Linked DNA regions of Caenorhabditis elegans. The protein of the gene in region 1 interacts with the protein of each later gene in a pairwise test. Each region holds a gene or a part of one and is shown in the gene's direction. Other genes may lie near its edges. The genes, in order: F45D3.2, R07B7.8, clec-208 and rtfo-1.

Region 1 (7,450 bases):
TTTCTGGCGCACACACACTCACCATTCTACGACCTGTCCTTTCCTCCATGTCTGTCAAAATGACCGTCAGAAGATAAATGGTAGATGGGATTTTGCACTTTTCATAGAACTTCAAAGATTACGGATTACAATTGTTTTCTAGGCGTGGTGGTGTCAAATGTCAGAGTCAGTTGTAATAACCTACCGTACTCTTGCGAGTGCCAACAAAACATTATTGAGTATACAGAAGTAAAAGTGCATTTTTTTCGTTTCTCGGGTTTTTCCATCGCCGTCACCGGTTGGTCACCTCGACTCAAACTCCTCACATAATATTTGCTTACACTTTTATTTACTTGTTCTCTTCATTTTCGCCTCAGTAGAGCGTATTTTCCTATTTCCCCAGAGAATTGTCCCAAAGCTTTAAAACTATTAGCTTTAAATTCTAAAATTAGAACCAGATTAATTTATGCTAAGTTGGTTCAAACAGTTTTGCTCAAAGTTTGATGCACCTGTTTAAGTTATCGTCTAGAAATCTTTGAAGAATAAACTGCTGAAACTGCTGAATATCTTGATCTCTGCTTAAATTCGTGAATATTTCTGTTCTCTGAGTCACCAAAGTTGTTTTCGCCATCGCACCATTTTTGCACTAGCTCAGCTGCAGAACAAGAAACCCCACACGACGGCTACCCGTTTCTCTTTTTTCCCTTTGCCACACAGTAGTGTTCTCTGAAATTATTTTGTTGTTTTTGTCTGGTTCTCACTCTCATTCACCATCTGAAAAAAAAGCGGCCACGTCATTTATTGTGGTATGAAAAGTTGCTCTTGAACTCTCTGGAAATCTTAAGATCTTATTGCTCACTCATGAACCTAATTCAATGGTCGGTAAGTGAAGCAAATGTAGTAGTAGGGCACAATAGAAAGTTTGCATGTACTTTTCCGCCATCGCCCTCCCTCTATACCTTGTCCTGCGTCTCAGTGTAAACCGTATGGGGCGGGGCACCTTCTCCTTCGGGGCGACCCGGTCGTACCGCCCCCACCATTTTCACCTACAGGGTTTGATATTCAGATACTAATGTCGATATGTAGTGAGATGGTGTACCTACCATCTCAACAGGTTTCCGCTAATCTTCCCAAAGATTACAAGATTTTGTTTATACTCCAAAAATATTTATTCATCAAGTATCCCAATCCAAATGGTCACTTACTTACAACTGACGATTAAACATACTAAACATTTAATTAAAAAATTATTCAAATTGTTTTCGCTATTCAAAACTTTAATTCACAAATGCAAACTATTCGAAATCTTATATGATTCATGTTAGACTTTCAACTTTCTTCTGATCGCAAGTACTCCATCAATTTGTCAAGACGAGAGTTGGCCTCTACTGCCAAAGATCTTATTTTTCTCGATAATCTTGAATCACTTTCCATCTCTATTCCTCTTCTTCATTAAACTTTTTATAACATGTCAAGGTTTTTATTGGATCTTTGTTTTTAGTTAGTTGTGACCCAATCACTAACGTCACCACAAGAATTCTCTTTCCAAATACAGTAGCCAAATTCCCATGAGGTTTTCACATCGACTTTGGTTCCCAGTCTCCACCAAGGAAGAGATAGAGGGTACATCAATTTGTGTAACGGGTCCTTCTTTTTCCGTCTTTTTCTTCTGAGCGTGGAGAGAAAATGTGTGTGTCGTCTATCTCTCCATCATACTCTACATGCCCTTTTGTTATTTCGCACTTCCCCGCAGCGCCAGGCCTCCTAGGCATCCCCAGACTGAAAGGTCGACCTCTCATACTTCTCCATTCCTTTTCCTTTCCTTTTTCTTCCTTATTCAAGCTTAATCTTAGTCAGATTTTCTGATAGATACTGACTCATTTTTTCTTCATAATGTAACATAACACATAACACCTGCATGTGAGATCTTGACGTGGTCAATTTGTACTTTTTGCTATTTTGTTATTGCTTCTCTAATCTGATCTGGTCTCAATCACATTTTTATCTTCCGTCTTCATGATGCCTTTTTGTGATAAGAAATGAGTTAGATAATAGAAATGAATAGCAAAAAAGCGAACTTTTAGTGATCACGATCAGAACAGTTATTGAAGAATAAAAACAAAACAAAAAGTTCATGATGTGTGTCCATGTGTCTGGTACATGTGTCTGTTTCAGTTATTCTGAGAACTACGTCAATTTCGTGCTCAAGTAAATTTTCATATTCCATAGTTAGAATATCAATCAGCTGCTATCTCTTGTATATTTGCCAACAAGTGCAGATAAATTTAATATGAACTATCTGAGCAATGCATAACCTGTGCCCAATAATGTTTTTAGTTTTACATCATTAATTTCAGCTGCTCGCATCTTATTAGTCCTTTCCATAATCTTCTTTCTTCTCCTCCTCTTTTGCACTTTTCCTAGCATTCTCAATGCCCCACCCACCCCCTTCTTCATCTTTTTTTCCTTTCCGAGAGCGTAAGTGGGCGGAGCCTTCTGTCGAGATGCCAGGACGTCAGTCACTCATTGCCATGCTACTCACGTTTTGGCTTGTCATTTTTTTGGTCACAGTTGTCAGGAAGCTTATCAAATCGTTTTACGCTTTCACGCAAAGTTCTATTCATATCAGTTCATTTTTGTAAAAGTGCATTTGAGTCACTGATTGTTTTTTAAGACATCGAATCCCTCATTTATCCGTCTAACCCTAAAATTGGCATCCGATCTTCCTTAAATCCTCATTTTGGCATCTTGAAAATTATTAGTTTAAGCAAAAAGTTCAGTTGAAGTACACTTGACTTCACCTTTTCAGTTTCCAGTTTTTGTCATGATCATCATCGTTTATATACCATGAAGGGCACCTTCATATCCTTTTTGGAACCAATTGCGCACGCCTGTCTGTCTCTAAAGCACTTCTTGTTTTTCATATGTGAGTGTGGAGAGTGAGAGTAAACCGGGAAAAAAACAACGACAAAGCTAGAAGGGAAAGTAAGAAAAAATAGAAGGAAAAGTGACAAAATAGAATAGAATAGACGTGTGTGTGTGTGTGCGTGGTCTGTGTATTGTTGAGGACACCGGTTCACCACTTTTTCCCTCGAATTCCCTGTTTGGCAGAGACTGAAGCTGAAATTTTTTGTTAGACTTCCGACATTTTTCCATCAAAACTTGATCACATTCGCTCAGAGATGAATCTCCAGTTTCAGTACACTTGCGGGCGCCGCCGCCGCCGAAATTCTGCACTTTGCCTCCAGATTCCCTTGTCCTTTTTGTTTTCGACACTGCGATTTGTCGTTTTGATTCACTAGTCTGTTCCTCCTTTTCCTATTTTTCTAATTCCTAAACGATTACAGTGACATTTGAAAAACGTTCGAATATTTTCAGGGATATCTTCTTTTCCCTTGCATTCAAAAGAATAAGAAATGGACCAACTGACTTCCCAGCTTGGAAGCGCTGAGCTTCAGGCTCTTATTGCTGCCTTGCCACATGATTTGACTCTTAACCCAGTAACTGTAAGTTTTAAATCAAATATGCAAAATATAAATCAAAATCTCATTATTTCAGAGCAAACCATCATCTGCATCAAGCAGTGATTTATCGGCATCTACTTCTACATCTTCATGTATTTTTCCTCCAATCAACGATATGACAGCACTTTCAATGCTTTCCCTAGGTGCCTATCCTGGCCTGTTCACTGGATTCCCACTTTTGTCTACTTTGCCATACTTGAATCTTCCACCACACTCAACAATCGAATCATTGGGACTTATCAACTCAGCCCTTTATCAACAACAAAAAGATGTTCAAGCTGCAATGAACTCACCAGTTAACCAATTTACTGCTGGATTAGCAGCTGATGGACGCCCAAGAGCATTTTCAAGCGCTGCCACTTTGCAACACGGAAAAGATCAAGAGAAACGACGAAAGAGAACAAGAAAGATGGAACCATCACTTCCAATTACAACAAGTACCATTACATGTTCCTCGAATTCGTCTCCCTCATCAAGCTCTATAACTACATCTGTGCTCCGAACATTAGTAGAAGATGATGATGCAGATGTGCATCCAAATAAAGTTCGACCAATTCAAGTAACAAAAGAGGAAGAGGATCTTGTTAGAAGAAAAACTCAAGAATGTAAGTCGTATATTCAAATTTTATAAATTTAAATTTACAATTCTAAATTTCAGTGCTCAAATCCATGCCCCTTCAAAAATTAGAGCCAGAAGTCAGCGCAAGTGGCCCACTTCGCCGTCTTATTCGAGACGAAGACCTTCCAGACGAGGTCGGACCAGATTCGCCATTCCGCCACTACCCAAAGTATCAGGTACACAAGTTAGTAGTTTTTCGATTCTTCCTTTTCTTAATAGTTTAAATCGAAATCTTCTCTCTATTCTTCTACTTTTTTCACATTTTAATGATATTGTCGTGCTTGACAGAACTGCATATTTTACAACCAATTTTTGTTTTAGAAAATTAATTTTAAAAACGCAGCTCTGGTGTGAAAGTAAAGTATTTGATTTTTATTTGATCTGTCATTAAGTTTAAATTGTTCAATAAAATTTCAATTTGCACACTCTTTGAAATTTGAAATACATTTTTTAAACTCTTTTTATTTTCAGCAGAAGCCCCGTTCACAACTAGTCATGCTTCAAGGAATCCAAGCGGCAGTCGCATGTATGTGCATTGAAGCTTTTCAACTCGACGATAAAACCGATGAGGAGAAAAAAGCTTTTTGTCAAAAACAACAAGGCCTTTCACTTGATGATTTGGTCAAGGAAACTGTGCGTCAGGAACTTGTAGCTGCAGAGTAGAACGTTTAGCTCTCATTATTTATACCTATCCACTTCTTTTTCGTTTTCAACCAGCTTTTACTCTAAGTTCAATTTTACTCAATATGGATAGGTTACAGTTTTCCCCGTTGAAATAGCCCCTATTTTGCTCTCAAAAACTACTCACTATTACGTCTCAAGGATCAACCGTTGCGTGTGCATTTTTCGTCTCCCCGTTCCATTTTTTGCTCTTCTCTTTTTTTTCTCTTTGACTAGAACTGTTTCTTTTGGATGGTCAAAGAGGAAAATTTAATTTTAATGTTTTTGAACAAAACTTCAATGCTTTAATATTTTATGTCCGTTTCATATTTTCCAACTTTGTATTTCCTGTTTTAAGCTTAAACCTTCATTTCCAAACGTCTCAATGTAATTCTCACAACATTGCCCAGCCTTTCAAATGATTAACATTTTTTTGTAAAAATTAAACGTTTAAATTCTAAAAATAATCAATCTGTACAAACAAATATGAATAAACATTCTGCAAATTGATAAGTTCATCCAAATGTAGTTTTCAGAAAAAAATAACACATCAAGTACCGTACTATTTTAAATCATGTGGCTTAGACTTTTGAGTTGTTTTCGACAAGTTCACGTCATTTTTCTCTCATTTCCAGTTTCCGTTTTGCACTTTCATTGATCAGTTACCCAGTTTTTAGGAAAATAAAAAAGGGCAATGGGGGATGCGGAAGTCTTTCAGCAGAATGTCACATTTTCAGAGAATGACCTTCGAAGTTTAGATGAAGACTGTAGTTGTTCAAAGCATAAACAAAATTTACAGTGAACTTACAACGTTTGCAAGTGCTTTTCAGAAATATGACTTATGAAGTACAGTTATTCCTAAGCAAACAAAAATGTGCCTGATGAAATAAGTAGCTAAACAACTCAAAAATAGAACGTGGGTGTCCGGTAAAAGCACTTTACTGTTTGAATTTGATTCAACAGCATTTTAAATAGAAGTGTGATAAGACAGCAACAATTTATAAGTTGGTAAATCAATTTTAGGCTATTTTGAATATTTAAAATAGGAAAATGTGTTAGTTTTTGAAAAAAGTGTCCCAAATAAAAAAGATTACCGAATAACAAGGTTCAAGTTCCAATGGTTCGAGACCAATTTGACATTAAAATAAAAACGGGAATATTTTATTTTTGCACAAAAAATATTTTTCAGGGGTATACAGCAAATCTTCACGGGCGTTTCGCGGTGTTTTTTTTTTAAATTTCAATTGAATGTTGTTGGCACACTTGTAAAAAGGAGATCATCGATGTAATGAAATATTTACAAAATCGTGAACACTTTAAAAATCACGACCCGTAGAGTGCAATTCGACACAATTTTCCCGCCAACTTTAGTGCCCCGCAACTTTAAGTGCCTCAAAACAATTTCAGATATAGTTCAAGTTCAAAATAAACTAGAATATCTTCTTGGATGCACATCAGTAGTTTATACACCAAGCGAAATTTTTGAAGATGAAATGCGATACTTGCCGTAAAAAAAATCTGAATTGTTCGAACTTGCATAAGAGCTTGAAATCAAATTTTGGAAAACACACAGTTCGTTTAAATGTGATGTGACACAAATGAATAAATGGTTGGAATCCACTCATATAGTGCAAAAAACTTGCAAAAAACTTGGCAAAAGTGCTGATTATTTAAATTTTGCCAGTCATAATTTTGGAAGGCAAATTATTTCTAGGAAATCTAATTAGGTTTAAAACATTTTTTGGCAAATATTGAAGAGATTCAAACATGCGAAAAAACCGCACACTTTTTAAACATTTGGCAATTTAAAAAAATTCTACATTATGTATTTCGACTAACCGCCTAATCCACCTAAATTTTTAAAGGCTCAAAACTTCTTTTTTTTACTTGGGCGGCATGAAATGAAGTTTCTCCTATTATGCTTATTCTTTTTGCAAATGTTTTCCAATTGCTGCAAATTGATACACCACAAGACTTAGTTTTGCAGATTGCGTACAATTGCTCTTGAATCGGAGCATCATCTCTGCACTTAGAATGTTTCTCCTCCAAAACTACCATATTCCTTGTACTAAATGCTTCAACTCTCGTTATTTTTTCTTTAGTGCATCTCACATCACCTCTTCCATCTAACTTCTTTCTGCTGCACGAGCAAAATTTCTAGACGCATGATCTACGACTTTTGCACTTCTTAAATCTAAGGAAAACTATTTTCTATTGATGATGTTGCGAAATGGAAAAGAAAAAATTCACAAAGTTATGGCTCCGTGATGGGATCGTTTAGCATTTTCGTGAATAAATTAACACTATATTTTGTGAACACAAATTTATAGGACAGGTAAGTCTAATTTCAAATCGTTTTCTGCAATTCTAATAGAGCGAGACACACTATAATACTAAGGAAAATATGCCCATTTAATATTGATTGTGAGTAAAACAATTAATTGGGGTTTTGCTTACATTTTAATTTCAAAACTCAAGAAAGACGTTTAGAGCTAATATGTTTTAAATCGGGTCTTTGGAACAGTTTGAAGGAAAATCTAACCGGCAAATTTTGGGGATTAACATTTTTCCCTTTCTGTTGGTTTCATGTTGAGTTTAAAATTGTATCTAAAAGTTTATTGCAGGCCTGTCCAAAAAAAATTATTTATAGTTCTTCAATTATTTAGTG
Region 2 (8,661 bases), 460 kb from region 1:
AGGCATGTAGGTTTGAATTTTGATCAACTTTTGATTCCACGGGTTGTTTGAATAATGGATAAGTGCTTCTCTAAACTATAAACTTGTAAATTCCACAAATAATTACGAGATCCTTGAGATAGAAATAGAAGGCTTCAAATGTAATGGGTAAAATAATAAAATCGAAAACTGTAAAATGGATCTGATGAAAGTGAATAAGTAAGGTCCTTTGAAAGAAAATTGTATTATTGTTATTGAAAAAAAAAATTCATCAAATTGATGAAGCTTGAACAAATTTGTATATATTTTTTTCTAGTTTTTCTTGCCTTTTCTCTGCCGTTTCACCACAGTAATCCGATATCCCCCTCAACAATAATAATAATAATAATAATATCTTCAAAATCGATGTGCTATGCGGGGATTTTTAATTCAAAAATTTCAGAATTCTCAAAGTTAAATAAAAATCTCGTGGTGACAACTCCTCAAAAATATCAAAAACAGCCAACGAACAACTCGAGAAAGGTGGATAACTCTAGCAGTTGTCGGTCATAAAATGACCCTGCCAACCCAAGCAAGTGTAAAAAAATGATGGTTTGAACGGCATCTTTGCCTTGAAAAACGGATAGGAAGATCGATGAGATGTCCGGTTTGTTAAAGTTTTTAGGTCATCTCAACCAATTTTACATTAAAATTACACAGTACTAGTATCAAGAGTTATTCATGGACCACCTGTATGATAAGATAGTGGTAAAGAGATAAAATAGAGATAAGATTGTCTGTGAGAAAAAAGATGCATTTGTGATCTCCAACTGAGTTTATACAAACAAAAAGGCAATTTTGAGTTCGTGGGAAAATGGATCAATCAAAAAACGAATAGGTATTCTCATAAACCACAAAAATGACGGCATTTACAACAAATCCACGGAGTGAAATCGCCCATCCACCACGATAAAATGCTCGGAGACCGTCTTCTCGATAGATTTTTAGAGTCATTTCTTTTGGGGATCTGTAAAATTACAAGTTAATGAGTTTAAATATATGCACTCATAAAAACCACGTGCAAAAGGGGTGTGTAAATGATAACAATAAGTATCATTGTTGTACAATGATAATTAATATTTTGTTTCCAATACATTTTTTGATAAAGAAAATATTTGCATTGTTTGTACGCAGATTTAAATGATTAAATGTATATAGTTTCCGTACAAAATTTGAATCTTTCCGAACATGTGATGGAGTTAGAGGACAAAAATTAATAATATTGTAGACTTAATTGGTTTGGACGGCCTACATTAAATATTCAAATTTCCAGGAAAACTTTAAAAATTTAACTTCAAATATTTTTTAAATGGAATTTAATTTGTCAATTTTTGAATTTTTGGGCGAAATTATATATTTTTAGGGAAGCTCATTAATCTTAAGTTTTAAACAGTATCTGGTAGTCTACATTAGTCCAGCCGCATTTTTCAAAGCTATTTAAATATTAATTTTTTACTACGGTAGATAAGTTTCGACGTTTAAAATTGAAATTTGAAATTGAAATCGTTATATTTTCCAAGAAGCAGCAATATCAAACTTACAATGTTTTATGGCTTTTATCAGCTTGAATCCGGTTTTTCACAACTTCCAACGGGCACACAGAAATCCATCCACTGACTCCAGCACAACCTCCAGCAAAAAGCTGAAATAATTTCAACTTTATTATCGGTTACAGAATCTATTTATTACCTGCGTCCATGTATTCTCTAAATTATGGCTTCTAAAGTAACGGCTAAGTCCTTCATATACTGGAATGTAGAAGAGGTATCCAATATTATCTCGGCAAAAAACAACACTTCCTCCTTTGAATAATCCACGCACTCCTTCAGCACGAACAGTCTCCCGAGCACACTCTAATGGACCAGCGTAGAGATTTCTTGAGTGTTTTGAGAAATGACCAATGTTTTCTCTTTGAACCTAAATTTTTTAAAACATTTTTATAAAGTTGTATTCTATAAAAATCTCACCTGAAGCTTGGTCTTTAACAATTCCACAGGAATAACTGGTCCGACTTGTACTAGAGTTCCACAAATAGATGCTATCAAAATCTGTATGAAACTAATAAAATATTAAAGTAAACTTTTTTGAAACTTACATCTGACATTGGTAAATCCTTACGAGCCATAACATTTGAATCACCAGGATTTAAAAACTTGAGACCTGCTCCATAACCAGCAAAAAGTAAAGAATGTAGAGCACCAGTTGAAATAAAAGGTACAAACATTCCCTTGTAGAGACCATAGACCTGTCAAGTTGTAAATGGTACAAATCAAATTGAATATGTTAACTTACAGATTCTTGTTTCATAGTTTTTACCATACAATCTACAATTCCTTTATAAATATTCATTGTCTGCAAGCGAGCTTTAACAGTATCCAAAGGATGTCCAACTAGGAGACCAGCTCCACCTGGAATCACAGTAAAAAGATATCGTGCATTTATATTTAAATGCTTTTTTAAAATTGAAATTTTTAAGTCATATAAAAATCTTAATCGTTCAAAAACTTTATTTTTATATGAAGCTATAACTTTGGCCGTTATTGAAAGTAGAAAATATAATTGTTCTAGAAAATTTTAAATTTATAATGTGGTAATCAGTTCGAATTTTTGAAACTTCCCATTTGGATGGTACAGAATTTCTCAACAAAAAATAAACAAACCTGCGGCCCATCCTGCAATGAAATCGGCGTACATAGTAAAATTAACCCGACAATTTAATAGAAAATGAGAGACAGTTCAATGCATAAAAAGACGGAAAGTGATAAGATTGAATGGTTACAGATTGCACAAATGGACAAAGATCACATCGATATTTTCGATATTTAATCGATATTTTTCTACACTACAGCATATTGTCGAACACTTGGAAATCTATGAACTGCATCTTTTGGGAAGACTGAATGAAAGTGGAGACGCAGGTGGTATTGGAGATACTGTGGATACCACAACACAAACAATTTTGAAAGTTGTGTTCCTGTGAAAGTTGATTATAGTGTTCACATCGATCAGAAAACTTCCAAAACATTCTAATATCAATTAAAATATTAGTTGACGATGTTTCGGCATTCTACATTTTTGAGAGCTTCTTTCAGAGACTCATTGAAATTATAGATAAAAACAATTATTTGAATTTTAATTGTCATGATAGTTCTGGGGGATTATTTTATTTCTCTATAGGCACACAAATGTATGCATGTTTGTAGTAAAACTTCTAAAAACTTAATGTTTTTTAATAATTTTCAGTCGAAAAGCTCCAATTATTCAGTTTTCATCCGCTCATAACTTTGGAAGTCGATGAGAAAAATGAATTACCCAACTAACTTTTTATTTTTATTTTTACGGCAAAAGTTGTTCGTTGAAAGATCCGAATGCCGCAATGTCCTACTATAATTTACCAAAAAGCCCCAATTTTCGTAAATTTGGCAATTTGACTGAATGTTTTCCGAAATCAAATTTTTAAGATTGTACATGTAATATTCGGTAGTTCTGGATAAATATATTCAGACAATATTCCCAGCAGTCCTACTCCACCTATGTATAAATGCTTGAAATTTTCGCGTGCAACAAACGCGTGCAAGTCGTTGGAAATTGTTTGACTTCTATCTCCCCACTCTCACATTCTACGGGCATCCCAAAGCATCTCAAAAGAAATCTAAAAAATGCAGGCTTTTGTAAGTTTGAGAAATTTTTTAATCTTTATATGTTTCTTTGCAGTGGAATAAAAATTCCCGGTATCGTCGAGTTCCAAGTGATATGGAAAATGTCGATAAACAGGTAAGAAATTGAAAACTATTAAAAATCAAATAAATTTACAGGATTACAAAGATCATAGCACATCTCGAACTGTTTCGTCAATTACGAACAAATGTAGTAGACGGTATCGAAATGTAACATTATTTATTTTTGTGGTTACCATTGTCTCTATCCTTTTTTTCTTACTGTTTCGTGGCAATAGAGGTAAGTGACGCAGACATTGCAACACAATTGAGAGAGTATTCTTGACATGGAGAGATAGACAATGCAAAAACTGCTCTCCGTTTCCTTGTGTTCATTTATTTTTATTTCAGAAAATCTCGAAAACTACACCAATATGGTAAAAAATTATACTTCTAAGGCAATGAATCTTGGTTAGTCTGTTTTAAGCCAACTTTTAAAAAATTGAATTAATTATTTATTCAGAAGCACAAACACTAGCAGTTGCCAAATCAGAAGTAAAAATGGCTTTGGAGAAATATTTGAATTCTATCGATCCACATGAAATTTACCCGGATGATGTGAATATGATTAAGCCGCATCATATTCGAGTTATTGGAGCAATGGGAGATTCTTTGACAGTTAGTTATTTTATTTATATAAAAAATGTAGTCCATTTCAAAAAATATTTGAATTAAATCTACTTGTTTAAGATTGGGTCTCGCGCAGAAAATATTGTTGGGCAGAGACAACGTTACCCTGGAAACGCGTTTTTTACTGGAATGGATTTTGAAGTCGATAGGCATTTGACTGTTTATAGTATGAACTTAATTTAAATTAAATCTTTTTGAAATATTATTCCAGACATTTTTCGTATAATTGCGGAGAAAACTGGAAATAAACTGTTTGGTGGAAGTACTGGAATCGATTACGGAGAGAATACAGGATTGAATGTTGCGATTGGTGGAATGAAAAGTGATGATATTTTAAGACAAGCAAAGGAACTCGTTAGCAGAATTAAAGCTAACAAAGAGGTTTCCTAATTATATAGCTTATAAGATTAAACTTAAATTCAAAATATTAAGATTAACATTGAAAATGACTGGAAACTTGTGTCACTCTGGATAGGAACAAATGATGTCGGGACACTTGGTTACCGTCTAGAAGATCCAATTCCAGTTGATGAGTACAAATCACATATTGAAAAAGGACTTTTGTATTTGAAAGAGAATCTTCCAAGAACTATTGTCAGTATAGTTGGTATGTTTCCAGCTCAACTTCTTCAGGAAGCACAGTCAATTTTGAAAAATGGGTTAGTGTTTTTCTAGGTAGCTTTTTTTGTTTTTATTGCAAATTATTTTCTATGAAAATCTGTTTTAACCAGATAACAACTTTTTTACAGAAAACGAGCAAGAACCGTCGAAAACCAGAAAAAATTGGATGATTTGTCTGATGGGTACAGAAATGTATCTTACGATTTTCAAAATAACGAACATTTTAATTCCAATGATTTTACTGTAGTCGTGCAACCATTTGCAACAGAATACACGGATTCTTATCGAGATGTAAGACCTTTTTTCAAATAGAGGATTGAGAACATTAATTTTTAATTTGGTATATTTCTCAATTATTAAAATGTGTGTAACAACAGTCATTGAGTTCATTAGAAGCAGGAAACAGTCATTTTTAAGTCGCATTGACAATTTCAAACAGCTTTCTAAATATATTTGAGAATATTTCTCACTTCAGTATGCTTGAAAACTGGGCATTTTTTGAAAATTCCTTGTAAAAATTTCCCAAGAAACAAAAAAAATATATCCCAAAAAAATAAGCATCTCTGTTAACAATAGAAATAATTTCTTTAATAATTTTAATATTTACAGGAGCATGGAAAGTACAACCCGACATTTTATGCTTCAGATCTATTTCATTTGAGCAAATTTGGACATGCTGTACTCGCGAAACACTACTGGCTGAATCTATTTGAACCAGTTGGAGAAAAGACAAAACGAGCAGATTTAGGAGATACGAAACCAAAAATATACGAACTAAATGAGGTTTATAAAATTTATTTCAGACTCGTTTTTGTTCATTTTATTTTTTTCAGAAGAACTGTCTTATCAAAACAGTCGGAAATAGCAAGATGTGATTGTATTTCAGATTTACTTATTTTGAATTTCGGGTTTTTTTAACCTTCATTTCCGCAACACAATAAAACATTATATTTTACGTCATGAAGGAGTCGGAAAGTTTATGAAATCACGACGTCACAAAATAAAGGAATATTGAAAATTCAAGATAATATCGTCAAATTGATTTGTGATAAAGTTAATTATTTGAAAGTGTTTAACATTCCTAAAGTATGAACTACCAACTTTCAAACTTTCGGCATTTTTGAGACATTTGATACAGTTGGTTTACAATGTGCGAAATATAGTTCAATTTTTATTTTAAAAATATTACAATTGTTTGCTTGTTCTTCATGAGTCAATTAACCAACATCGTGAAATAGCTGCTATGCAATATTTGACTAGGATGATTTAATCAAATTTTGTGTTATTTTCATGATCCAAATTTTAAAGACTAATACCGTCTGTTTAATTTTTCGCACTGTGAATTCTTGTCAATTACAATGTGAAAATTACGTAGTTTTCGAAAAAATGTCAAGTTATTTTACATTTATACTCGCGAGAAATTAGCGTGTCCAAATTTCTTTTTATCATTAAAAATTGTGGTAATACGTGGATTTGAAAATTTGACAAGAATTTTGTAAAGAAAATTCTTTGCAGAATTTTTGTGACGTCAAATGTCCGGACTCTAGATCTAGAGACTAAATCCAAATTGGCAGGAATATTTTAAAGATCAGTAGATACTCATAAGCTTTTTTAATTTATTTACTTCTAAGAGAATCGATAATGAACAGTGTAAGTTTTTAAATTTTTCTCGGTTATGGTATCACAAAAACTATTATTTCAAACAAAAAATGCAAATTTCGTACGAAACAATGCAAAGTTGTAGTAGATCCGAAATGAAATTTAGATAACAATCGAATATTGATGAAGTTTTCATTAAACATATCGCGTTCTTTTTTCAAAATATTTAATACATCTGCGAATACTTTTTGACTCCCCACTCCCTCTCCCTCTCTACCTTCTATATTATTTCCAAAATACGCATGTTAGACAACGAGAGCGCTCTTACCTTTTTTATAAAAACTATGAATCCGAATTTGCAAGCTTTCGTGAGTTTTTGATTCAATTAGCTAATTTATTACTTTGTGTTTTTTCAGTTAAAAAGAAACGCTCCATATCACAGGATTCCCACTGATATAGACAATTTCTACGAACAAGTGAGAAATAATATTTATTTGAGATGAAAAAAATAAATATTTTCAGGAATACAAGGATTATTATTCACCTCCAACATTTTCATCAGTTTCTAGTATTTTCCGCCCGCCATTTCGACATATTCTTGTATATATTCTTGGATTACTGTTCGTTTTTACCTTATTGTTTGTATTGTTTCGTGGCAATGAGGGTGAGTGACGCAGACAGAAAAGAAGAAGAGAAGAGAAACACATTTGAAGTAGAGTTACAGACATTCAGAGAAATTGTTGCACATTAGAGAAATTAAAATTGAACTTCATAAAACATGTTTCTAACTTCAGATAACCAGTTGATTCACGAAAACCATTTTAATCATTAAGTCTATTCAGAAAACTCCGGAACATACAATGACTTGAAGAGCTCGAAATATGAAGATACAACTGTTGAAGAAATACAAACAAGTGGTAAATTTTGAATCACAACAACTGATTTACCTTTTTTCAGATGGCATCGATTTTCAAAACGCAGAAAAGGAAAAAGAAAATTCGAACTTCACTACTCCAGAAATGAAACTCAGTTTGTCTATTTTTCTCTTCAACTTTTTAAATGTTTAATATCCTAACTTTAGAAGCTCAAACTCTGGCCGTGGCAAAACCCGACGCGAAATTGGCATTGGATAATTATTTGAAATCAATTGATCCACGTGAAACTTATCCGGATGATGTTAATTCAGTAAAACCTCATCATATTCGGGTAATTGGTGCAATGGGAGATTCGTTAACTGTAAGTTTAAAACACTTTACATCCTTTTTCAAATAAGTTTCAGATCGGGTATTGTGCTAGTCATTTCATTGAGAGAATCAATGGTCCTAATCCAGGAAACTCATTTTTTACTGGAATCGATGAAGAAATAGATGGACACTTATCAATTTACAGTAAAACACCATTTTCGATTTTTTTTTCAATAAAAATTTTCAGACATTTTCCGCGTTATTGCTGAGGAGACTGGAAACAAATTATTTGGAGGCAGCACTGGAGTAGGTTATGGAAATAATACGGGATTAAATGTTGCTGTTGGTGGAATGAAAAGTGATGATATTTTGAGACAAGCAAAGGATCTCGTTAGCAGAATCAAAGCAAACAAAGAGGTACCTTTCCTCTTTATCACAAAGTACAAATGTTTGGTATTCAGATAAACATTGAAAAAGACTGGAAATTAGTATCTCTATGGATTGGAACTAATGATGTTGGAAATCTTGTATTCGGTTCCGAAAATCCAATACCTGTTAAAGAATACAAAGCTTTTATTGAAGAAGGTCTTTTGTATTTGAAGAAGAATCTTCCAAGAACAATTGTCAGCATAATTGGAATGTTCCCACCTCAACTTTTACAGGAAGCATATTACATTTTGCGAACAGGGTATGTACTGCTTAGCATGTAACTTGCATTTATTAATGGATTTTCAGAAACCGACCCGGAACTCCTGAGAGTAGAAAGCAACTAGATGAGCTCTGTGATTCGTACAGAAATGCATCGTATGAAATTCAAAACGAAGGAAAGTTTGATGACAGAGAATTCACAGTTGTTGTTCAACCATTTGGTACGGAATATACAGATGCTTTCC
Region 3 (6,682 bases), about 10 Mb from region 1:
TGCAGAATGAATAAACGTATGCGTGCTTTGTAGAATGGAAATTTCAGGTCTGAAAATCTATTGGCCGGGACAAAAAAGAAAACTCGGCCAGAAATCGGTGGCCGAGTTTTCTCCTTCCCTCGGCCATGTTGCGGACTCCGACAATAACTCACTCTGGTGGCCCATCACTTGATAAAAATAGTAATGAAGAAAATATTATAATTACTGATAAAGCTAGTCCTAATTTCAAAGCTCGTAAAGGATGAAGCCTATATCGATATTTTGGTAGCTGTCTGAAGCTTACTGTAATTGGGAGGACATAGGGTTTTAAGTATTCGGAAGTTTGAAATTTCATGGGCAGGATAGAAGCAAAATTTTGAAGCTGAATCTACATAACTATCAATTTTTGAACCTAGCGATCCCTATCTAGAAGACGAGACAAGGCCTAGGCGGCCTTTTTTTCAAAAAATTTAAAATCAGATATTTGGATCCTGTTCGGAACAAGCATAGCTCTGCAAAAAAAAAAATAAAAAAATATATACGGATAAAATCAAAGACAAAAGCTGTTGCACGTGAAATTCTATGTATTGCTTCGGTGTTTAGCAGCCGGCATTTACCGGGTTAGAAGCCATTTTCTAGCCGTGTTAAAGCAGCCGACATTTCAAGGGGTATGAAAAGTAACTCCTCCAATCAGAACGAGCGACGCTTCACGGGACCAATTTTTTTGCCGTATCGCTCAAAAAACATTTTCCGTTATCTCCCGGGTCAATAATAATAATTGAGTCATTATTTTTTCCTCTTTATCAACGTCCCAAATAAATATAGCAGCCGACATTCCACGGAATCACCAAATTACTAGCTTCCGATCACAGAAAAGCAACCGACATCTCAAAGGTTCCACATATTATATTCTACTTGCTCTATCTTGAGCAGCCGACAATTTATGGGTGAAATTTTCTGCGAAACTATTCAGCTGACAACACATCCAAGGTTTATTCTTTAAACAGCAAGCAAAAGATCATTTTGTCCCCCGATTTTATTGCAATCGAGAATGTTGCAAGAAAGAGAAAACTAAACGTTCTTTATATCATAATTATTTTCCCGATCTCCATATAAAAACCGAAGCCCCAAGATAATACAAAACATTTCGGAACATGCTAGTAGTTTTTCTGTTCTTGCTACTCTCTACCACCTACGGTATCGACTTTTCGGATTCATCCGAATCATGTGAAGATGGTGGACGGGGTGGTCACAATCACGGACGTCCACCAAGACCACCAGGCAATGGTGGAGGTGGAAGAGTATGCGACGCCGGGTGGAAGTTCTTCTCGAGACCAAGTGGTGGATGGTGTATCAGGGTGGGCTACAGTAACCCTTTGATATTCTACAATTTGTGATTCAGGTCTTCGCAGGCCGCCTCGGAAGAGATTCTGCAAACCAAGCATGCGCCACTCAGGGAGGAGTACTCTCAGGGATGCAGAATGTCGAAGAGATCAACTATATTGTTTGTAAGTTCTAATTTTTTTGTAAAACTTCTGTAACTACTGCAAAATTGCAGCCCAGTCTTTGAGCGTGATTTCCCCAGCAAGAAGTGGGGGCGTTTGGGTTGGAGCTCGACGCCGACCAGCTTGTATCAGCTCAGGAATCACTGCAACTTGTACAAAGACTAATAGCTTCTACTGGACTGACAACTCGGCTACTGGAATCAATGGAATGCTTTTCACGAATGGAGAGCCAAATAATGGGTTAGTCGAATGGGTTTTTAGTAAGGTTGCCTTTGTACGCCTTCGCACCTACCATCTTCCTACCTACGTGTCAGCCTGATGCGTTCAGGCAGATACGCGACAGGCAGGGATGTGGGCATGATTACCTATTCCGAAAATTTTCAATTTTGGCAATTGCAGCTATGACAGAACAATATTGTACTGGCCTGTCTCGCCTAAGAGACCTGCCTACAAGACCGCCTACCGCCTAGTTTTTGTGGCGTTTAGTAGGCTTGCCACTATCCATTTGGGTAGACGTTGGTTGCTTTGTAGGCACGTAGGCATTCTCAAAATCTCAACTTTTCCGTTTTTCAGAGGGGTAAAATTGGATCAGGATTGTGCACTGCTTACTGTAGCCAGCACCCCGGTGGTTTTCAACAAATTCAGAACTGGACAAATGGATGATGTTCCGTAAGTTCTTGTTAGTCGGCATTACCAACTTGGCCATTTAACTTACAGATGCACGTGGCAGGATCCTACCCCAACCGCCGACAAGGCCAACAAAGGGTATGTGTGCGGAAAGAAGGCGAGAAGATGATCTGTATAACTTTTTTTAAAAATAAAAATTCTGTATTTTATAATGTGGTGTATTACTATCATATAATGCTAGCAATCCGGATCGAAATTGAGAATTTTAACGAAAATTTGTTGTTTAAAAAAACTTGTATACAGTTGTGCAAAATAAAAACTTTCAATGAATAATAAAAACTTTCGTGAACTTCGAAATACAAAACAAAAATAACGGCTACGAATCACTACAGATTTCCCTTATTTCTGGAAGTTTCAAAAATTTGTTAAAATGCATGAAATTGTGTTGCTTTTTAAGGTAAGCCAAGTTTCAGATTTCCCCAGCTTTCAAGCCATTAAAAAATTTTCAGATAATCTTCCAAATTCTTCCACTTCTTCCGGTCCTTTTCATGTTCAAGAAATCAAAGCCAGGTGGGGCTAAGCCAGTTATGAATGCTCCGATAATAGCTTCACGGTCTTTTATACTGAACACGCGCTAATTTCAGCAGCCGACAATTTACGGGTCTGTTTTATTCTATTCTGAGCAGGTGACATCTAACCGGTAAGTTTCTACCTAACTTTTTAGCTGTCACCATCTTGAAACAGCAAACAAACAATCATTTGTCCTCCGATTTTATTGCAACAAACCGCACTTGGTTGCAGGGAAGCGGAAGCTAAACTCCTTTTTTTTATTATTATTTTCCCGATCACCATATAAAACCCAAAACTCCACGCGTTACGAAACATTTTGAAACATGCTAGTTGTTTTCCTGTTCGTGCTACTCTCTACCACCTATGGTATCGACTTTTCGGATTCTTCCGAATCATGTGAAGATGGTGGACGGGGTGGCCACAATCACGGACGTCCACCAAGACCACCAGGCAATGGTGGAGGTGGAAGAGTATGCGACGCCGGGTGGAAGTTCTTCTCGAGACCAAGTGGTGGATGGTGTATTAGGGTAGGTTACAGTAACCCTATGATATTCTACAATTGTGATTCAGGTCTTCGCAGGCCGCCTTGGTAGAGATTCTGCAAACCAAGTATGCGCCACCCACGGAGGAGTACTCTCAGGGATGCAGAATGTCGAAGAGATCAACTATATCGTTTGTGAGTTTTGGCTTTTTTTGAGTAAAACTTAAAACTTCTGAAACCACAGCGAAATTTCAGCCCAGTCTGTGAGATTGATTTCCCCAGAAGTCAGTGGTGGCGTTTGGGTAGGAGCTCGACGCCGACCAGCTTGCATCAGCTCAGGGATCACTGCAACTTGTACGAAGACCAACAGTTTCTACTGGACTGACATCTCGGCTACTGGAATCAATGGAATGCTTTTCACGGATGGAGAGCCAAATAATGGGTAAGTCAGATGGGTTTCGGTATGGGTGCCTTCGTAGGCAGGCACGTCTTCTCTGCCTCGTAATAAATTAGGCTTGACAGGAAGGCACGTCTTCCTACATACGGCCTGATACCAGCCTGATGCGTTCAGGCCAATAGAGTGGCATGCACGTGGGCATGATTACCGATTACGAAAACGTTCAATTTTGGCAATTGCCGATATGACCGAAAAATATTGTACCCGCCTATCTCCTGCCTGCCTGCCTGCATAACGGCCTACCGCCTATTTTGCAGATAGGCGTTGGTTGCCTTGTAGGCAAGCACGCATTCTATAAATCTAAACTTTTCCATTTTTTAGAGCTGCTGCATTGGATCAGGATTGTGCATTGCTTACGGTTGCCAGCACCCCGTTGGTTATGAACGCTTTCAGAACTGGTCAAATGGATGATGTTCCGTAAGTTCTTGTTGGTAGACACAACCAGCAGGGCAACCTAATTTCCAGATGCACATGGCAGGATCCTCGCCCATCCTCCGATAAGGCTAACAAGGGATATGTGTGCGGAAAGAAAGCGAGAAGATGATCTGTATAACTTTTTATTTTGTTGAATAAAAAATTTTGTATCGGAAAACTTGCTCAACCAAAAAATTTGAAAATTAAAAAATTTAATAGTTTTCACGAGAAACGTGATGGGAAAAACTTGCATTAAACTTGCACAAATAATACAGTTGGAAAAATAACTCAACGTGAACTTATAAATACAAAATAAATAACATCCACGAATCACTACAGATTTCACTCATTTCCTGAAGTTTCACAAACTTGTTAAAATGTATGAAATTGTGTTGCTTTTCAAGGTGAGTCGAGTTTCAGATTTCCCAAGCCTTCAAGCCATTCAAACAATTTTCAGATAATCCTCCAAATTCTGCCACTTGTTCCCGTCCTTTTCATGTGCAAGAAATCAAAGCCAAGTGGGGCTAAGCCAGTCGCGGATACTCCGCCAGCAGCAATGATTGCTCCACGTTCTCGTACACCGTCGCCAGGAGCCGGCAAGCGTTCAGTGCCACGCGATGGAGTTTCATCGTCAGTTTCTAGCTCGACGGTCTCTAAGAACGAGCCAGCGAAGAAAAGCCCCAACAATCGTGGCATGTCGCAGACTCAGGAGGTATGTATTTGTAAAATTTTCTCGAGTTTTTGATGTCGCCCGCGAGTCAGAAAGTCTCATTCCGCTTTGATCTACGAAAAATGCGGGAGAAGAGACGCAGACATCTCAACTGGTTTTGCATGGTTAAGAATGAAAAAATTCCCGCATTTTTTGTAGATCAAATCGCGATGAGGCTTTCTGACACCACGTGGTCCGCGACTTGCTCGCTGTAGCCCCCTATTGCTCGGTGCTGGCATTTATCAAATTTTACAAACTTTTTAATAAACTTCCACATTTCAGGTCACTATCAACAATGGCTTTGAAATGGGCAAAGGGAGACAGAGCCCCGTCTTCAGTGTTATCGTTTAGAAGTATACTAGCATCAATAAAACCGTTTCAAGCTCTTCATTTTTTTTTATATACAAAGCCTGATATCTCTATTCATAGCATCCCAAATTCCTTGTAAAATAATATTCGGTGACAAAATGGAATGTGTAAGGTTTTGTGACTTTCCCGGAGTGATAGAGACCATCAGAGTGTCGACATGGGATTTTGTCGTTGTTGGGGAGCTGGAAATATTATAGGTAAGGTAAATTTTAAAAACGCCTGCCTGCCTTGTGACTACACCTACCAACGAGTAGGCAGGCATAAGGTAGGCACATCTCACCTTGCACGCTTTCGTATTCACACATTGCCCCTTTCCCTGCTTTTGAGCTTCCAGGCAAGCCTTCAATTTTGTTGAATAATAATCTTCGGTTGGCAATTGTTTCACAAATTCTTGAATACTCGGCATGAGGAGCGTCCTGGAAAATTAGAAAATTGAGATTTAAAATATGTTTCCATAGAAGATCAAGCCTCGCGCTTCCAGTTGTTTTTTTTTAATAATTAATTTAAATTAGAAAATCGTATTAAAAAACTATGCAAACACGGGACACCGGACTTTACGCAAACATGCAGAAAACCGGCGGTAGGCAGGCAGGCACCAGTGCCTATCTACGCGCCTCCAAGAGCACTTTTATAGATTTACAAATACACATGGTGTCAGGCTGTCCCATCACGGTTTCATCTACAAACAACGCGGGAATTTTTTGCCCAAAAAATGTGACATCAGCACGTTCATAACCATGTAAAATCTGTTGTGGATTTTGAGTCTCAACTCTCACAATTCTCGTAGATCTACGTAGATCAAACCGAAATGAGACTCTCTGACACCACCTGCAGGTGGCGTCAGAAAGTCCCATTTTGCTTTGATCTTCAAAAAAATGTGGGAGAAAAGACGCAAACATCTCATCCGATTTCGCATGGTTAAGCGCGTGCTGACGTCACAATTTTCTGGAAAGATATTCCCGCATTTTTCGTAGATCAAACCGCAACGAGACAGCCTGATATCCTTTGCACCTGCAGATAGTTATCTATCAATGTCGGCTGTATCAATAATGCGACGTCACGAAAATGTACCCCTTTCTTGAGAAACTCGATAATCAGATTTCTTTTCGATCTGCGATTTCTGATACTAGTGACTCTCCCGGAATATCAACTAACTCTTTCAATTCTTGATCAATCTCTGCCAGCTGTTCCTCACTCAAAAGTTGCCTATCCGTAGTCAGTGGATTCATTGGGATTACTGTAGAGTTGTCGATTTCGGATGTCTGAAAATATACTAAATATTTCCTGTAATTTCAGCCCATCGACTACTAACATATTCCAAATTGCTGAATCTTAAAAATGCATTCGTTAAAATCTCTTTTCTAGTCAGATAATGTGGCTTATCGTCTTGCTCCGCCAGGTAGACCGGGTGCTTTTCAGCTTCCGTCGAGTAATAGGCCCATGTGGAATTGTACCGTTCTGGGCGAACAATTGCTCTTCCCATTTTTAAAGTTTCTCCGGATTGAGCCCTCGTCAGAAGTGCTCCGAGACTTTGGTTCTCTGGGGAGCTGTCTGAAATTTGCTCTTTTAAG
Region 4 (8,142 bases), 3.0 Mb from region 1:
GGAGTAATATGGTGCATGTCTAATGGTAAAAATGCTGTAACTATCTTGTATCTCGACATTTAATATACATTTAATATGCAGTATATTTGAATTTTTTGAAATCATTTGATACAAATTTATTTAATCTATTTAGAACCAACTCTAGGAACTTTGAATCAAATTTATCAGCAATAAAACTGATAATTGGAAATAAGAAGGCCATCACCGAAATGACCAAAAAAAACTCCGAATGTCTTCATTTTTCCTTCAATCGTTCTTGTTTTGAAAGAAGGTGATAAGATGAAGAAAATAGGGAGAAATGAAAAAAAGTTCAGTTGTACGATATGAAACTTATAACGAGACATTAATTTTAGCTTCCTGGTTTCTAAATGTGAAAACAGAATTCAAGTAAAGCATATCTAGATGGAATCTCTAGCCTATTTTTTAGAACTTAAAGTGAATTCACAAGTTCTTTTCACAAAGTTCATGATCTAAAACAAGCAAATTTAGACACCGAGCTTCTAGGTTTACGCATTCCTAACTCAAATACCTTCAACAGGAATAGCCGCCGTAAAACCAGCAGTGGATCGAAGCGCCGTAGCTACTGATTTTTCGTCATCTGTTTCTTTTTTCATTGTCTGTCGACTGGGCAGTCAATCAAGAATGCAACAAAAAAAAACGAACGACAATAAGAAGAAAAAGAAGACGAGAAGGACTGTAACTAAAGTTGGGAGACCAAAAATGAGAGAACGGATAGGAGGAGCTGACATTTGTTTTGATATCGAAAGTAATGTATATATTATTATTATTCAAGACTGAAAGTTAGAATTGAAAAAAAGAAAAAAAGGTACGGTCTGGAAACGAAACTTTGAAGAAAAGGGAAAAAGTTTGGAGCCATCCTTAACTTTTTGTCTTGGTACACTGTTTGCTCAGCAATAGAGATTGAACGGGAATGGTTTTTGGCAAGAAGAAATAGGTGAAGCACTCAATAAAAAATAATGTGTGTCTCTAAGAGATTCAGAGAAACATTCCTCTTGTGACGTGGCACTTCAAGCATTGAACAGAGTCATATCTTTTACTTACTCCAAGAAATTTTCAAGTTATCAAATCAGTTGAATGACTGTCTAAGTCTCTTTAATTTCAGTAATGTCTAGTACTAATCATTCGAGGTGTGGCATGATTGATTTGTTTCTTTTTATTTCATTTTGGTGATGAAGAGAAGAAAGAAAATAAATTAAAATCACCTAAAATTGAAGTCAAGTAGTAATCTTCCAATCGGCTGGCAGGTAGATGAGTAATCATGATGAGTTCTAATAAAGTAGTGAACGTTGCAGGCTCATAGCCATTTCAAATATTCAAATTTTCAATATTCATTCAGAATGCGTGATGAGAGGTACGTCGTCACGCAATACAATTGCCGGTTTTGTGAGAAGGAAGAGAGATCGATTAGAATGAAAGTGATATAGAGAGGAGAAACCACTTGGCTGGATAAACATGTACTTGATGGTTAGAACTGTCGGAAAAGCAAAATGGATTGTGTTCGAGAAAATATGAACATTTGGAAAGTTTTGAGTTCTGAAGCTTTAAAAGAATAATAAGATAAAATACGTTCACAAAGTCTTTTGAAATTTTATACGGGCAACTCGGACTGAAAAAGTTAGACAATCAATGTGAAATCGGGTTTTTTACAGAAAGTCTCTATATTTAGCGTTAAATTAAAATTGAATGTTACTAATGTGAACATTTGTTGAATTGGACATCAAGATTTTGTTTCGCAATTATTTACCGTAATCTTGAAGGCGCATATACAAATATATAGAGGGCCGTAAATTGATACGAGCTACAGTAACTCGTTGTCCGAGTGGCGAGACCCCTGCGAGTAAAGTATAACCAACATTAAAATATCTAAACGTCTGCGTTATACGGAATTTTTTATGTATTAAACACAAATGAGTCTCTCTTAAAAACTCGTAGAAAGAAAACATGCAGTATTTCAATAATCAGATAACTTACCAAAATTAAACTCTGCCTCAGCTGCTCCTCCATTGTGTCGATGGGATTCGAACCGCAAATTCTTCATTTTCTTCGAAAACTTCGCTTACTACTTCTACTAATTGTCGAATGGCAACAGGAAACACGAAAAGAAAGATTATCCTTTATTTCTGATTCTCTGTATCTCCAGGTCTACCTAAACACTTTAATAGAACAACTGTTCACTAAAGAGCATTTGATCTTTCTTTTTTCGTTTTTTCTTCTCTTACATCGTTTAACCTGGAAAAGGGGTTGTATTTCCGTAAGCCATCTACCCTTGTCTCTTCTTATGTTTTTTTCTTGATTAATGGTTTTTGAGAATACTGTGAGAGCATAAGAGATTTGAAAAACCTATAAGAACACTTCGGATTCCCACAGGATGGGCACTAAAGAATTAGTTTTTCTAAACTTCAGAAAATGGGAGTGTCTCTCAATTTCCTTATCGATTATAAAAGTGTTTGGTATTTATATATAAATCCATTAAATATACATAGCTTGCACCATGACCTACAGCAACAGAAGCCAATATCCCAATTGTGTGCGACAACCTTGCAAAATAGCGTGCGCGGCTTGCAAAGTGGGCGGGACTAAATGTATTGACACTGTGCAGTTTGAATGTAAAAATTTATTCTTAATTTTCGGTATTTTCTTTGGTTTTTCGTTATTATAATTGATTTTTAATGATTCTTTATTATTATCTTAATTCAAAGAGTAGAAAAACTTTATTGCACCCGTCCTTTTTGTTTCTCGAATCCAATATTGACACATTTTTTGAGAAACTTAAGTTTTTTCTTAATTTTTCGAATATTTTCGACAAAAACGCGCATATATCATTAAAAATATGACACTTTTCCTTGTTTCTTTTATTTGTTTAAATATTTGTATGAAACCTATTGTTCGTAGCCATCTTGCAACTGTGTGTCGATATCGATTTTCCCAGAACAAATGTCAGACGCTCTACATCACTTTTATACAACCGTTTCTTCTCACCGTTCTCTAATAATTTATTCAATTCATAATTATGTTCTCAGGGTCAGTTTAATCAACAATGTCTTCCTCTGAGAGTGCTTCATCAGACGAAGAGACAAAACGCCGTGCTCCAGCCACTTCAGATTCCGATTCTGACTCAGACGCAGGTCCAAAACCTGGAAAACCTCTCAGTACCGACTCCTCGGCATCCGATTCAGATGCCGAAAAACCACAGTGAGTTTTACTGTTTTCTATCCAAAAAAAAGTTATACGAGTTTCCATTTTCAGGGCAAAGCCTGCAAAAAAGAAGACTTTAACAAAGCGAAAGCGGCGAGCTACTGGAAGTAGTGACGATGACCAAGTAGATGATGATTTATTTGCTGACAAAGAAGACAAAGCAAGATGGAAGAAATTGACAGAATTGGAAAAGGAGCAAGAAATTTTTGAAAGGATGGAGGCTCGTGAAAACGCGATTGCTCGAGAAGAAATTGCTCAACAACTTGCTAAAAAAGCAAAGAAAAGTTCTGAAAAGGGAGTCAAAACCGAAAAACGAAGGAAAATGAACAGTGGTGGAAGTGATGCAGGTTCCCCGAAACGCAAAGCTTCATCGGATTCCGATTCTGAGATGGATGCTGCTTTCCACCGACCCAGTGATGTAAGTTTATTTTTTTATTTTTCAAATAAAAATTTTTATTCCAGATTAACCGCAAACATAAAGAGAAGAATGCTATGGATGCTCTGAAGAACAAACGTAAAGAGATCGAAAAGAAAAATGCAAAAAACGAAGCACTCTCTATCGATGCTGTTTTTGGAGCTAATTCGGGATCTTCAAGTTCGTCTAGTTCAAGCGAAAGCTCTCGTTCATCATCTTCTTCCCGCGAATCATCACCAGAACGTGTATCCGAAAAAGATAAGATAGTAAAGAAAGATGTTGATGGACTTTCGGAACTTCGAAGAGCTCGATTGTCCCGTCATAAACTTTCATTGATGATTCATGCCCCATTCTTTGATTCTACTGTCGTAGGATGCTATGTTCGACTTGGACAAGGGCAAATGAGTGGCTCAGGAAGCAAATATCGGATATGGAAGATTGTCGGTGTGGAGGAATCCAACAAAGTCTACGAATTGGAAGGAAAAAAGACAAATAAAATCATAAAATGTCAGAATGGTGAGTTGTTTATTTACTTGTGAAAATTTGAAATCTGTTACAACCTTAACTGCAGGTGGATCAGAACGACCATTCCGTATGCAATTCGTTTCAAATGCTGATTTCGAACAAATTGAGTTTGATGAATGGCTTCTGGCATGTAAGAGACACGGAAATCTTCCAACCGTCGATATTATGGATAAGAAAAAACAAGATATCGAAAAAGCAATCAACCACAAGTATTCGGACAAAGAAGTCGATCTGATGATCAAGGAAAAGAGCAAATATCAAACAGTTCCACGAAATTTCGCTATGACAAAAGCTAATTGGTCCAAGCAAAAAGAGCTGGCTCAACAACGAGGTGACATTCGAGAAGCCGAACAAATTCAAACTAAAATCGATGAGATTGAACGACAAGCTGATGAATTGGAGAAAGAGCGAAGCAAGTCAATTAGTGCGATTGCGTTCATTAACCATAGGAATCGATCAAAAATAAAGGACCAAGTCCTGAGTGGGCAATTGAAGATCGAAGAGAATTCACAGGATGATCCTTTTACACGTAAGAAGGGAGGTATGCGTGTTGTTTCTGGATCTAAATCAAGACTTGACGGAACTCTTTCCGCATCTTCATCAACCACAAATTGTAAGTTAATAGGAAATATCAATTTTTTGACATAACTTTATAATTTTCAGTATCTGACGGCGGAAAAGACAAAAGTTCATCATTGGCTAAACCGACGCAACCTCCTCCATCTACTCAAATAAAGAAAAAAACTGATATATCCAGTCTGCATGACTTTGATCTAGACATCGATTTGGGTAAATTGAAGGATTTTAGTACGCCGGAATCGTCAGGAAACAAACGTCCATCAATTAGTTCTTCCAAGTTAGCACATCTTATAGTGGACTATTTTAATTGCTATATTTTCAGAGGAGTGTCACTTAGTGATTATCGAATGCGTCGATCAGGAGGTGGTGACGCTGGATCCTCCACATCAGCTGCACCATCCTCAGCAGTTTGAACTGTCTTTTTCTACATCTCTTTGATTTTCTCAGCGTTACCCCCCTCATCCCTCATCGTTACGTTTTACTTATTTTCTTTCGTTTTATAAACTGATCAAAACTTGTTCAATTCCTTCATTATACTATTCCGTTCATTTTTTCCAATTTTTGAGAACACATTTTTTTAGCTTTTAATTTCGTCAGAATAAAATAAATCGTAATAAAGATAGCAATTGCAGAATGCAAGAAATGGAACATTTTATGAATCCTTCACCGTTTGTTTTAGATCTTTCCCACTCACTGATACTCCTCACCAATCCCAAACCTTTAATTTTAAATTTTCTATGTGATTCTATTGATTTTCACCCTCATTCATCTTTTCATGTTTTATTCCTTTTTTGATTCCTTGTGACTACTGTATTCCTAGGTTAACGGATGTAAACCAAAAATCTGTGTGAATTTTTTGAAACTTTTCTAATAATTTTTCGTGCAATTAATGAATAAACTCAAAGTTCTTTTCACGTTTTTATTCCATCTTTCAGGATTAGAAACCCGGTATACAGAAATGGTTTGGAATGTGAACGAAGAATTGTAATTTAACATCTTAAGCGCTACAGCTCTTTACTCGGCTTGGCTCGAAGAAATGAGCTTTTGCTCAGTGAGCATTGACAGGCAACAGGGAGCTGGAAAGGAAGGGATTAGATTATTTCGAGATTAATACAATAAGAGAAATAAGACAAACCTGGATTTGTTCAACAATCCAATCCTCACAATTATCATCCCCTGTGTTTCGTAGAACTTTGAATGAGAGGGTCTGAATGCCACATTGACCATGAGCTGGAAATATATTTCAATCACAAATTACATGTAATCAACGGACCCCTCAGTTGAAAAACGTAGAACGCTCTCATTACGTAAACGTCCAAATTGATCATTTTCGCCATACAATACGTACATGGGTCTCGCCACGCAGACATTGACATACAGTAGCTCGTGTCGATTTACGGGGCCTACATTGTCTCATGTTTTAAATATTAGACGAACAATTGCGCCAAGACTTTTTAATATGCAAATATGAGGCAATAGCGGATCATACGTCGGCACGAGCTACAGTATCTCCTTGCACTCGTGGCGAGGTCTCCCCAATCGGGCATCGTGTTACTGTAACTCTTGCTCATTTATCTTTTAGAAATACGGGTCTCCATTGCATAATATTTTTTATTGAAAAATCTTGTCAGCGATTTTGCTTTTAATTTGAAAAAAATACGATGCAGTAGCGGGAAATGAACACGAATTACACGTGGTGTCAGATTGTCCCATTACGTTTTAATCTACAAAAAATGCGGGAATTTTTGCCGCAAAAAAAGTGATGTCAGCCCGTTCTTAACAATGCGAAAATAGTTGAGAAGTCTGCGACTAAATTCCCGCAATTCTCGTAGATCTACGTAGATCAAACCAACATGGGACAGGCTGACACCACGTGGCCACGTGGGATTACAGTAACTCGTTGTCAGCGTGGCGAGACTCATGCGCATAAAAAATGACGAAAGTTCGTATCTTTAAACCTCTATGTATTAAATTCCGGAGAGAAGAGATTAAATTTGATAGTCGATGTATACAAAATTTCGTCTTCTAAACAATAAATTTTAGGAAGTAGTGAGCACAGAAGAGCGTTTCTACAACTTTAAAAAATTCCTGAATGATCTCACCTTTATCAGTGAACGTGTCAAAAATACATCCCATTTCCTGTGAATTACATTGAACTGTGTTGAAAATCTTCGGAAAACAATTAGCACCGAGCATGTACAGCCCTCTGCATTCAGAGCACAACGATTCGTGTGTGCCTCCATCAATAGTTTCTCCAAGGTCAGAACATGTTCCGACAGGGATGAAGTTTCCGAGTGCACAATTACCAGGTACAGTAGGATGAGCATCACTGAATACAGATGCACGAAGGCGTCCAAAAACACGGACGAATGGATTTGTTGTATTATTTGATGGAGAAGATGAACGACGAGATATTTCACCATTCAACGCTGCTTTTATCATTTGACATCTTGAATCACACGGATTGGTCTGAATTCAAAGTTTTACAAAAATGTATAAAAGTTATTTGTTGTGACTTAGAAATTCGAAATGAATCTTTTTCGGTTATAGATAATTTTTAAAATTAATGTAAATAATTTTAAAGCAAGTCTCGTGAAACTTGCAACCGTTTTTTTTTCTAATTGCTCTATACCCTCAAGGGGCCGTACTAATAGTAACATCCTCTCACATATGTACAACAAATGTTTATAACATAAACCATTTAAAGCCAAACCTGCTGAAAATGTGCAACAAATACCGCATCTCCAAGTGTATTCCCAAGTGGATTTGGTGTGTAAGACTCGGCAAAGTTCTGTGATGCTTCATCAACTGAATCTGCCATAAACAGCTGATTCCTACCACCAGCATCTTCAAGAAGTTTGTATTTCTCAGCTTCCGTGTACTTTTGACATTGAACATTGGTGGATGGACGGAGTCTGAAATTATCATAAACGTCTGGATATAATTTGTATATTTCATTTCGTTTCTTCTGATGCTCAATACTAATATTTGTTGAACTACAACTTAACAAATTTAGAAGCAATCTAGAAAATCTCTCTGCTAATGGTTGAAGCATATTTTCTCTAATAGTCTTGCACCCGACTAGTCTTATTTTAAAGCTCATGTTTCTGTTTATCTGGAACATTTCAATAATTTTTTAATGCAAAACTATAGAAATAGAAAATGTAAGTTTTTGGTCAGCTGTCAATTTTTGGTTGAACCAAAGGCAACCAAGATATAAACTGCTAACTTTGAGTAATTAGGTGATAGAGGGAATACTGTATATAAATTAATTGGATCTAACTTTTTCATTCGAACTGGAAGCTTTACTGATTTCTCTGTAATATTCAAGGGCGGAAGAGGTGTTGTGGATGGTGTTTCTGATGATTCAGTAGATTTTGATAAAGAAATTTCGGTTTCATTCTGAA

Evidence for each region.
Region 2: the proteins of F45D3.2 (region 1) and R07B7.8 interact in a two-hybrid assay, tested with the Caenorhabditis elegans proteins (one large-scale study listed by BioGRID).
Region 3: the proteins of F45D3.2 (region 1) and clec-208 interact in a two-hybrid assay, tested with the Caenorhabditis elegans proteins (one large-scale study listed by BioGRID).
Region 4: the proteins of F45D3.2 (region 1) and rtfo-1 interact in a two-hybrid assay, tested with the Caenorhabditis elegans proteins (one large-scale study listed by BioGRID).

What each region holds. Positions count from the first base shown.
Region 1 is NC_003283.11:12,537,683-12,545,132, forward strand, and holds F45D3.2 (Homeobox domain-containing protein), read left to right. Parts: upstream 1-3,356; 5' UTR 3,357-3,395; coding exon 3,396-3,485; intron 3,486-3,537; coding exon 3,538-4,108; intron 4,109-4,161; coding exon 4,162-4,298; coding exon of another isoform or gene 4,299-4,306; intron 4,307-4,593; coding exon 4,594-4,785; 3' UTR 4,786-5,295; downstream 5,296-7,450.
Region 2 is NC_003283.11:12,078,477-12,087,137, reverse strand, and holds R07B7.8 (Lipase_GDSL domain-containing protein), read left to right. Parts: upstream 1-2,821; 5' UTR 2,822-2,984; exon of another isoform or gene 2,985-3,522; 5' UTR 3,523-3,677; coding exon 3,678-3,689; exon of another isoform or gene 3,690-3,732; coding exon 3,733-3,792; exon of another isoform or gene 3,793-3,833; coding exon 3,834-3,975; intron 3,976-4,085; coding exon 4,086-4,145; intron 4,146-4,197; coding exon 4,198-4,352; intron 4,353-4,424; coding exon 4,425-4,530; intron 4,531-4,575; coding exon 4,576-4,745; intron 4,746-4,796; coding exon 4,797-5,023; intron 5,024-5,113; coding exon 5,114-5,276; intron 5,277-5,594; coding exon 5,595-5,768; intron 5,769-5,818; coding exon 5,819-5,860; 3' UTR 5,861-6,053; downstream 6,054-8,661. Other genes in the region: R07B7.10 (SLC (SoLute Carrier) homolog), read right to left, coding at 838-985, 1,560-1,660, 1,708-1,935, 1,986-2,066, 2,114-2,263, 2,311-2,426, 2,679-2,712; R07B7.9 (Lipase_GDSL domain-containing protein), read left to right, coding at 6,887-6,952, 7,001-7,060, 7,107-7,248, 7,427-7,501, 7,542-7,613, 7,666-7,820, 7,864-7,972, 8,016-8,185 and 2 more.
Region 3 is NC_003283.11:2,094,949-2,101,630, forward strand, and holds clec-208 (C-type lectin domain-containing protein), read left to right. Parts: upstream 1-3,004; coding exon 3,005-3,208; intron 3,209-3,251; coding exon 3,252-3,357; intron 3,358-3,417; coding exon 3,418-3,604; intron 3,605-3,940; coding exon 3,941-4,036; intron 4,037-4,084; coding exon 4,085-4,163; 3' UTR 4,164-4,210; downstream 4,211-6,682. Other genes in the region: gtnt-26 (Glycosyltransferase family 92 protein), read right to left, coding at 1-49, 153-334; clec-207 (C-type lectin domain-containing protein), read left to right, coding at 1,134-1,337, 1,382-1,487, 1,538-1,724, 2,058-2,153, 2,202-2,280; F36F12.7 (uncharacterized protein), read left to right, coding at 4,411-4,437, 4,491-4,745, 5,025-5,093; gtnt-25 (Glycosyltransferase family 92 protein), read right to left, coding at 5,162-5,293, 5,392-5,527, 6,267-6,373, 6,424-6,662.
Region 4 is NC_003283.11:9,577,544-9,585,685, reverse strand, and holds rtfo-1 (RNA polymerase-associated protein RTF1 homolog), read left to right. Parts: upstream 1-3,041; 5' UTR 3,042-3,058; coding exon 3,059-3,213; intron 3,214-3,267; coding exon 3,268-3,634; intron 3,635-3,678; coding exon 3,679-4,147; intron 4,148-4,202; coding exon 4,203-4,769; intron 4,770-4,819; coding exon 4,820-5,012; intron 5,013-5,057; coding exon 5,058-5,148; 3' UTR 5,149-5,645; downstream 5,646-8,142. Other genes in the region: K09G1.1 (MARVEL domain-containing protein), read right to left, coding at 530-614; F25B3.2 (CTCK domain-containing protein), read right to left, coding at 5,740-5,811, 5,871-5,965, 6,838-7,204, 7,449-7,650, 8,019-8,137. UniProt on the Caenorhabditis elegans protein: Component of the PAF1 complex which is a multifunctional complex involved in transcription initiation via genetic interactions with TATA-binding proteins, elongation and transcription-coupled histone modification.